Nothobranchius furzeri: one gene and its partner. The protein of the gene in region 2 binds, or shares a complex with, the protein of the main gene of each other region. Links are inferred from orthologs where the notes say so. Each region holds a gene or a part of one and is shown on either strand. Other genes may lie near its edges.

What was found.
Region 1: supt16h (region 2) and ssrp1a share a complex: the UniProt entries of both Homo sapiens proteins name them as parts of the FACT complex. The link is inferred for Nothobranchius furzeri from reciprocal best matches to the Homo sapiens genes SUPT16H and SSRP1.

The regions. Positions count from the first base shown.
Region 1 is NC_091741.1:91,653,640-91,658,886, forward strand, and holds the start of ssrp1a (FACT complex subunit SSRP1a), read left to right. Parts: upstream 1-1,703; 5' UTR 1,704-1,790; intron 1,791-2,063; exon of another isoform or gene 2,064-2,170; intron 2,171-2,465; 5' UTR 2,466-2,491; coding exon 2,492-2,545; intron 2,546-5,247. Other genes in the region: uncharacterized protein clcf1, read right to left, coding at 63-81. UniProt on the Homo sapiens protein: Component of the FACT complex, a general chromatin factor that acts to reorganize nucleosomes. The FACT complex is involved in multiple processes that require DNA as a template such as mRNA elongation, DNA replication and DNA repair.
Region 2 is NC_091742.1:80,394,633-80,399,281, forward strand, and holds part of supt16h (FACT complex subunit SPT16), read left to right. Parts: intron 1-1,454; coding exon 1,455-1,606; intron 1,607-2,191; coding exon 2,192-2,364; intron 2,365-2,636; coding exon 2,637-2,727; intron 2,728-2,804; coding exon 2,805-2,878; intron 2,879-2,999; coding exon 3,000-3,109; intron 3,110-3,190; coding exon 3,191-3,256; intron 3,257-4,013; coding exon 4,014-4,112; intron 4,113-4,426; coding exon 4,427-4,542; intron 4,543-4,613; coding exon 4,614-4,649. UniProt on the Homo sapiens protein: Component of the FACT complex, a general chromatin factor that acts to reorganize nucleosomes. The FACT complex is involved in multiple processes that require DNA as a template such as mRNA elongation, DNA replication and DNA repair.

The DNA.
Region 1 (5,247 bases), on a different chromosome or scaffold from region 2:
GATGTAATAATAATGATTTATATCCACAGGTTTTAATAAGATAACTAGATTCATGATCTTACCTTTACCAAAGCTTCTCATGGTCTCCAGAACCGTTAATTCCAATCTCAACTAAAAAGAAATTCGTAACTTTTTAACACAGGTGATGTGGTGACTCGGTCTTTACAGGATGAACGAACTTTTTTGTTCAAAATAAAAAAAAGAAAAATAAATTTGAGAGTAACCTTCCTCAGGACGTCGTTTAAATTTATCCTCTGACTTGTGTGGTCTGTGTGACAGACGGAATGACGGCGGAGCTCTTTTTGTACCTCCTCCTCCTCCTCTTTTTCTCCCATTCCTCCCCTCTTTTCCATCCCTGTCTCCTCTTCTTCCCCTGTTCTCCTCCTCTGCGGTGATTCACCAGGTTGACGCATCACGGCTCAGCTCGAACCACGGGACTTGTCACAACTCATTTCTGTCTCTCATCTCCGCGAACGCGAGCTGACAGCGGCGTTTGATCTTTAATCTGCTTCCCTTTAATAAGGTAACGAGTCGGACCGGATCGACTCACCTCGGCCCGGATCGGGTCACCTCGGGCCAGGAGGACAGGGCAGAAACTCCACGATCCAAATGCTCCAGGAAACAGGGATTAGAGGGACCGTTTAACTTCAGAAAGGAGAGAAAGACGCGTTTTAATGGAACGCTTTAAAATTTACTGTAAATGATGAAAACACTTCGTCTGCGTTTAATCCATCATTTCCAATTTGTCGCAAAAAAAACAAAAACATTTTCTTTAAAATTGCGTGTTTAAAATATAAGAAACGCATACACTAATCACATTTAAATGTTTTAAGCAACTCTTCTGTTTAAACCTTTTGTTTAACAACAGACGACATTGATCTCATTTTCCAATCTCACATAATCTGGCAGGATGCAGCAGTTTCTTGAAAAAAAAATCCTTAATCTGGCAGGTTTTCCATATCTGTTCAGGTCACGCGGGGTATGCGTTTGAATTGTGGCCTTGTTAATGTGGACTGACAGCAGATCCTCAGGATTAATCGAAGGGAGACCCAAAACTCTTGTTTTATTTATTTATTTTTTTAATTTAACAAGATATTTAATTGAGACTATGTGGATCACTAAAGCACACTCATCTGACATGGTGCTATTATGACTGGCTTTCGGGCCCTGTGTTCTAATTGTATTTCTGTACTTTGTTAACTATTATCCTCTTGCATTATTTTATTTAATCAAGTTACTATCAAGTATCAGACTTCGTTTCCAAACTGTGCTACCTCAGCAGGTTAATCTGATCCGATCCTCACTGTAACACCAGTTCTTGCCTTTTTCTTGTAAAATGAAAACGTGAATATCTGTTCACACTATAGATTGTGGCTAGCACATCTGAATGTATTTTAAAGCAAAAATGAACCAAATTTGCGTCGCTTCGCTCAGTATTTAATGTTCTTCTAACAAGAGATTTATAACACAAGTAACGACAGGACTCTTCAGGCTCTTGGAGGGATTGTGCGCCCTGTAGTGGTATATCGGGGTCACTGCACCATTCTCTGGTCTGCGCAGACTCCGTAAAATCATGCCACTATTAGTTTGATATATCTTTAAAAACTCGTTAATACAAACACATTTACATCTTATACAAATGGGAAAGTGTTTAGTCAAAAAATATAGAATGCTTAAAAAAACCTTTTGGCAAACCGGAAAGAAACGCATACTCCTGCTGTTGTTTCCTGTGACGTCACACTAGCTCCTGATGCTACACGCGGGAAACGAATCTGCACATCTCAGTGATTGTAAGTCTACGTTTAAAAAACTGCCTTTTCTCCTGTGGATAAAAACTTGTTTGTGAGAGAAACTAATCAACAGAAGATAGGTTTGCTCACGCGCCTCAACTGAATTTGATTTCTTTGTTATGTAGACCATAAAATAGTACTTGTTTTCCAAAACCGGCCTAGCTTCTTTTTTTGTTGCGCTCGATTCGGTGTACTTTGCATTGCTGCGGGGCGGTGCTGTTGTTCGTGCCATTTCCTACAACCAAAATTACGACTCGGTTAAACATCGGTACTCAAAAGAAGCGTAGCAAGTGCACCTATGCTAGCTTAGCTATTGTGAGTGATGGAGCATGCTTGATGGTGCTGACAAACGGAGTGACACAGCCTTTACTTGTGTCACGGTGGGATTGTAAACATTTCTGCTCTTCAGATTGTATTTTACAATATTGTTGGGTAGATTTTTAACTATTTTAAATGGGCACACAGTAAAAAAAATAAGCAAACGTAACCGTTGAGATAACGTTAGGTCAGATTTCATCTTTGTTTAACCAGGAAGGTCCCATTAAGATAAAAATCATCATCTGAGCGTCTCGATGCTTCAGAATGACTAACATTTGGAAAACAGCACAGAATATTTCATTTTGTAATGAACTTGTTGATGTTTGGTTGGAACTGATGCCGTTTACCTGTGTATAGAGCGTCAGTCATCGCCTGGAGCCGACATGGGGGACACACTGGAGTTCAACGAGATCTACCAGGAGGTCAAAGGCTCTTGGGTCAGTTCCTTCACCCTGCCTTTTATTTTACATCTCTACTAAATGATTGTGTGTTTGCACGTTCAGTATGTAACCCACAGCATGATAGGATCCTGGTTATCTGATAACACTTGTATCCTTAAATCACAAAAAAAAGTCAATTTCAGAAGGTTTTTCCCCTTGTTACTATTTGAAGGTGTCAACTGAATATCAACATGGCATCAGAATTTAGTCAAGAAGATCCAAGAGGATGTTCATTTGACCACTGTATCTGTGATGTATGCTTTCATCTGCCAACACAAGTTTACATCACTCGTGTCATAGGGCAGGAGTAACGTCATGTTTTATCATAATCTATCAAATGTGATTCAGACACTCCTTCAGAAATCAGCAATAACTCTTTTTTTTCCTCATTAAAGCATCTTATTAGTAGCAAATAATCTTTAAGGCCCCTTGTGATTTCATTTAATTGATCAGATAGTTTCATACAGAAATAAATAAATAAAAACATGTCTTCCCCTCACCTCTCCTCTGTGTGACTGGTGTGCATCAGGTACTTTTATGGAAAAGTGTTTTCGTAACCCCAAATTAATTTACATTCAGTAATTTTTTAACGAATGGAACAAAATCAATCTTTTCATGTTCCCATCTTGAAATCACAGCTTTCATATACAAATACAAACTGGAGTTTGAATAATGTGAATTATTGTGAATTAAACTGAAGACTTGCCTTTTTAACCATTTTGATATCTGATAAGAGTACACAAATACCCCCCAACAAAAAAATCAGAATAGAAAACATTCACATTTAGCCTCAAAAGAGTCTGAATCACTTCAAATTAATTTCAGAACATTTAAATTACAGCTAAGTTCCAGATATCATCAAACCCAGGATGTCCTGACCCTCATGGGCAGAACTCGTTTGTGATGTGAGCTCCTCCTAAACGGTCCAGATGTTGCACCTCTGCTCCTAAAGGTTCTGCCTTTTGCGTCCCTCAGCATTGTGTCATTAATTACCGTTTATGTAAATTATTTATTTTTTAACATCTTTAAATCCATTCAGAATCATTTATGCCCACATTGATGCATCAGAAAATAGATTATACCCACCACCCCTAGAACAGTGTGTATATTTATATCTTAGTGTTTTACATTAAATGTTATTGTGACACGGATTAGTGCACCACACAGCATTCTCTAAAGAGCAGTTATAAGTAACACCTTTACAATTACCAACGTCGTCTCAACACGAAGGACCAAATGAGGATAAACATGTTTGTATAGTGGGATGTTCTGATGGAGCTGCCTTTAAGTCAAATGAAAAATAGAATATAACTCAGTTTTTATGTAAATCATCATTTAACAGAATGATTATTAAATGCTAATTGAGATGAGGTCAGTATTTTGTGGTTCTGCTTTAAACTTTGATGTTGAATCTAAAAAGGAGCAAAATATTTTAAAGTTGTTTCTGCTGTTTTTATAACTGATAGTGAATTATGTCCTAAAATGCCCAAACGACCCCGTTCTACCAAACAAACCCTTAAAAACCTTAAATAAGAATCTGTTTTAATCCAAGTTCCTCGTGTGTAGAAATCTAGCAGCTGATGGTATTTTACATCTGCTCTGAATTCTGGGTCAACCATGCAGACAATGCTGGCGAAATCCTACAGAGTACATGCTTTTTCTATTTGTACTAAATGTTTACTGGGTGTAGGATCCTACATCATTACATTAAAACTTGGCTTACTAAAATATATAACACGTGTCCCCGTTGTGTGATTGGTTACCATCATTCCTCTAGTTATGGGTTTAGGGATCATCCATCTTTGACGGTTTAGTGCAGTCTTTGATTTTCTGTCCAAAGTAAATGGAGGTTACAATGTTCCTGTTTGTGTTTCTTTTTATTGTTATTATTTTTATGCCAACAACAGTAAAATGAGGCTGAAGGTTTATTATATTCCTCTCCCTGTTGTCGGGCGGCGCTCAGATCAGCTGATCAGCAGGTCTGAACGCTGTGCACACAGGCAGCGTAGAGCGAGAGAGGGCAGCCATTTTCAGACTCAAACTTTTTTATAAGCAAGAGAAATCTTTGAAACTGTGGAGGAAAAATTGTTCAAACTAAAACACAGGAGATGTCCAAAAGGTTTGAAAGCCTGTGTGTTCATTATGTGTTAAAGAAAATCAAATGGCATTAAAGGGAACTTTGTTGAGCGAGCTATTAACGGAGATAAAAGCTCGTTAAGCCAGCATGTTTTACTGAGGATGCTTTTCTGCTCAACATCCAACCCAGACCAGGTCTGTATAACCAACATTGTCCCATCTAGAGGCTGACCGATAGATCGGACCGATAATTTCAAGTTTTTTCTATATCGGCCGAAATTATTTTTAAAAGCCGATTAAAACAAATAAATAAATAAATCAGGTGTGCCCGACTGCTGCCACTACTAGACTGAAGAAAGGACCCAAAGAACCCTAACAGTTTTTTTATGTTTTGAGTAGGGCTGGGCAATAAATCTAAAATTTATCGTTGTCGAAATTTCTGACTCTTATCATGATAATAAGACTCGTGTTTTATTACTGAGCTCTGTTGTGGTTTATTATTAATAAAATGTGACAATCGGCTGAAACTGTTGTGAAAAGTTGGTTCAAACTAAATAACAGGAGATGTTCAGAAGTTTGTAAGCCTGTGTTCATCATGTGTTAAACGAACCGCATCTCATCTG
Region 2 (4,649 bases):
GTCCGGCTCGGCCGTGAACGAGCCGAGGCGGCGTCGTGCTCTGCTTAAGAAGAGGTGTTATTTTCCCGCTTCAGAAGAAGCGTCCAACATGTTTTTACGCTTTCTCCGAGACATGTCACGTCGCTAAGTTGTTAGCGCCGCGCGCTAACACGTCAATAGTGCAGCGTAGCTGCTGGAGGTTTTACGGGTTCAGATGAAAACACCCGACCTCTCACGCTGCTCACACATCGATCTTCAGTTGTCGCCGTTGCGCTCACGCCGTAATACAGTATTAGATGCGGTTAAAGTCAGACATGAAAAAATAAATTTTACATGAATAAGTGATGCTTAGCTTGGTGGGGGGAGGAGAACCTGGCCTAGTCAGCACTGGAGGAAACCCTGTCAAGATCGTCAACACTCGTTTATCTTAATGCTATTGAAACATGTAAACCACAAAGCATTATATCCACTGCTACCTTTCTAATTCTAAACTCAGTAACTTATGCTGTAACTTCACCTTGCCCTGCCTGCTCCTCCTTGCTGCCCGCCGGCTGTGATCACAAGCGACAACATAGTAGTTCCCGCTGCTTCTTCGGGAAATGGCGCAAAAAAAAAGGGGGGATCTTGCAGGCGTGACGGTGGGATTTCAGCCGTGGCGGGCCGCCACGGCTACGCCTATGTAAGGGAAACCCTGGATGAGCTGTCGCGTGGCACGCAATCAATGCATCAATTAGTAATTTGAAGATGAATGAATGTAATACTTATTACAGATTTCTATACTCCGTTAGCCAATAACAGTAACTATGAAAAAAACGACCACTTTTTTAACCATTACTTGCAAATATGTGAACCTTAACGGACCACTTATATTGGAGATTTTTGATGCCGTCCGATATAATCCGATACACTGTTTTTTGGCCGATATCGAATTATTTCCGATATCGATATCAGAATGGGACATCCCTACAAATAAATCTGTTTTTTATTTAAAATTTATAAGCCAGAAGTGTTGTAAGAGGGATTAAAGTTTAGTTTTTTCTTGTCCGTTATCCAAGCTGCTGCCCAATTTATAATCAGACGAGATCAATAGATTATTTTAATGAGATGCATAGATTATTTTTAAAGCCAATACCGATTTTTGATTCTTGTACATCTGAGCTGCTTTATTTTGAAGAACTTTTTATGTCTTTAATTCTTCTGGCAGTAAAAACCTGTACATGACGTTACTGCTGCCTCGAGCTCACCTGACGTTTTTATGTCCTGGTCAGAACGTGGATATTTTAGTTTGTAATAATTCTTAATCAAATAAAACAAACGGATCAGGATGTGTTACAGCAGGGTTTTGATGAAATTAAGGACTTTCTCTAAAAGTGTTGAAAAATCATCCTTGTCTAGACAGATGGCGGACATATTCGTCCAGCTGAGGTAAAACATTCCTTCTGTAATCCCTCCTCGTCTCTTTTTCCTCCCAACAGAAAGTCCGACACAGCAAGCTGGCCGAGTCGGTGGAGAAGGCCATAGAGGAGAAGAAGTACCTGGGCGGCGCCGACCCGTCCACGGTAGAGATGTGCTACCCTCCCATCATTCAGAGCGGCGGCAACTACAGCCTCAAGTTCAGCGTCGTCAGGTAGCTTTTTCGTTCTGTGTTCCATCGATTTGTCTCAGTGGACAGAAGGATGTGGAGCGTTGGTCTGAAGAAAACTTCTAATCTGTCTGATTGTTCTAGAGATTAGAATTAAAATACTTTATGAAAGTTTAAATAGTCCTGTAGACAATTATCAGGTACAATCTGCTCAAATATTAGCAGCAAATTTCAGAGTGCAATAAGTTTGGCCTAAAGAGCAGAAGTGCACCAAAATAGACGAATGAATGAGGGGAAACAAACATATATTGAATATAATATAAATATTTTTATTTCAGTTTTATTTTTTCAATTAATTTTCTATTGTGGCGGGTGGTTACTCCATGTTTTCTATTCTGTTTATATTCAAACACACGATCCATAACAGATCTATTTTTCAGCTGGTTGTAATTCACCTGTAACACCACTAGATGTCACTGCATCTGCTTTTGCTGCAGAGTTTAAACCTTTAACTTTACACGAAAGAAAGTCAACAGATTAATCAAAACAAAGGACTCAGAAGCGATTAGATTTTTCTGCCGACGCGTGGAGCCAGAACCTCGACCCTGACCCGTCCCTTCTCTGCACCAGTGACAAGAACCACATGCACTTTGGTGCCATCACGTGTGCCATGGGCATCCGCTACAAGTCCTACTGCTCCAACCTGGTGCGCACACTTATGGTGGACCCCTCGCAGGAAATGCAGGACAACTACAACTTTCTGTTGCAGGTGGAGGAGGAGCTTCTGACGGAGCTGAAGCATGGTGAGTTCAGGGGCCGGCTGGGGCTGTGGGAGCTCTGGGCGCTCGCTAAACCATCAAGTAGTAAACTGTTGTTTAAATACTTTATTGCGGTTATTCTGATTTATTGCTTTTGGATTATGATGTTTTGTATTTAAACTGAAGATAAAACTGATGCAGCTTTTATGCAAATGTCGAGCGACACCAATCCCTGACGTTTAGAGCCCTGTGATTTACCGGCTTTAGCTTACTGTTACCAGGGTTACGGCACAAACGCGTCTTTTTAAACTCCTCAGGTGTGAAAATTAGCGACGCCTACAACGCCGTCCTGGAGTACGTGAAGAAAGAGAAGCCAGAGCTCGTGGGGAAGCTGACCAAAAACCTCGGGTACATTCGCACACGGCTCCGTCTCTCCAGCCGCTCACTCAGACCGTCTCCAACACTCCGGCTTTTATTTTTCTCAGGTTTGCGATGGGGATCGAGTTCAGGGAAGGCTCCTTGGTTCTGAACGCTAAAAACCAGTACAAGCTGAAGAAAGGTGAGGCGTTGGACTTTACCGCTGGGAGGGAGAGTGTTTACATTTACACCTGGTGTTGTTAAGTGTGTGTTTGTGTGTGTGTGTGTGTGTGTGTGTGTGTGTGTGTGTGTGTGTGTGCCAGGCATGGTGCTGAGCATCAGTTTGGGCTTCTCAGACCTCCTAAATAAGGACGGCAAGAAAGGCGAGCAGAAGTACGCCTTGTTTCTAGGCGACACGATTCAAATCAACGAGGTCAGGATGGTTTTATTCATACGAGGAGCTCCTTTCTTCTGCTCTGATCCTGATGTGTGTGTGTGTGTGTGTGTGTTCCAGGACGAGGCGGCCACAGTTCTCACACCTGTGAAGAAAAAGATAAAAAACGTGGCGATCTTCTTAAAGGTCGGTGTCCTTCAGTAACTTCTAGTGTGTGTTTTGTTGTTTGTATTATTAAAACAACTTCCCAAAGCAACCCGAGCTCACACTTTAACTTTCTTTGAGTGGGAAACTCGTCTATAATAAAAAGTAATAAAAAGATCTATTAAAAAAAGAATCTTTACTGATTAGCTGCCAGCTGTTTTCTGATCAGAAACCCAATGACTGCATGTGTTTTTGAGCGTTTTTACTGTGAGTCGCAGAGCATTGTGCTCTACGACCACTGAAACACCAAAGGTACCAAAAGAAAGAGTAGACTCACTTCTCACATCGGGAAGAGTCTGCGTGTTTCTAGATTTTTCCGTTCTTTGACCATCCGTGAGCTGCAGAAGCTTTTCCCGTTTGCGCCTCGCTTTAGGCTCAGCGGACTCCCAAAACGACGTGCTGATACACGGGTCGTCTGCTTCCGGATCAGCACTTAGAACCGTAACCGTCTCCCGCTTCCTCTGCCGTTGTTACTAGAAGAAAAAAATCCCGTTTGGCCCACAGCCAATCCTGGCACAGCCTTTACAAACCAGGACACACCAGACTCCACGGTCCACATTTGGAGTCACTTTTAAAAGTGGACGGCATCGTTAGCTTCGCTGTGATGTAATCAGCCGTGGTAGGTGCAGCCCCTGAGCACATCCACAGATTCCCTCACTCCCCGCTGGAACACTCCCACACCGCCAGCTGCCTTGTTGAGCGTCACGGCGGTGAAATGTTTACACCTGTTGGCTTGCAGAAAGAAGACGAGGAGGATGAAGAGGAAGACGAGAACGACGCCGAGGAGCTGCTGGGGAAGGGAGCCCGTGGCGCCGCCCTGCTGGCAGACAGAACCAGAGTGAGTGTTGCTGTCCGTGTGGTCATGTGACCATCTTAGGATCTTCTCTGACTAAGCCTGTGAATGTCTTTGTACTCTATCAGCTACTTGGGAAGGTGAGTCCGTGTTTTCCTAAAATAAGCTGACTCAGAAAAGGAAAAGATGAGATGAGAAAAAGTTCATCTGAATTTGAGTTTCTGTCTCATTTTGGTTGTTTTTATTTCATTTTCTCATCTGAATCTGGCCGTGAGGTTTTCTGCATGTGTGTTGTGCCCATCATCCCAAACGCCGCCCTCACGCGTTTCTGTTAAAACGCTGTTTTTAAACAAACTCAGAACGAGATGACGGCGGAGGAGAAGAGGCGGGCTCACCAGAAGGAGTTGGCCAATAACCTGAACGAGGAGGCCAAGCGACGTCTGACGGAGCAGAAAGGGGAGCAGCACACCCAGAAGTGAGAGCGGAGCCTCGCCCTGCGCTGCTTAGCGCTCGGATATCTAGTTACGCCTCTGCTCGTTCTTCCAGGGCCAGAAAATCCAACGTGTCTTACAAGAACGTCTC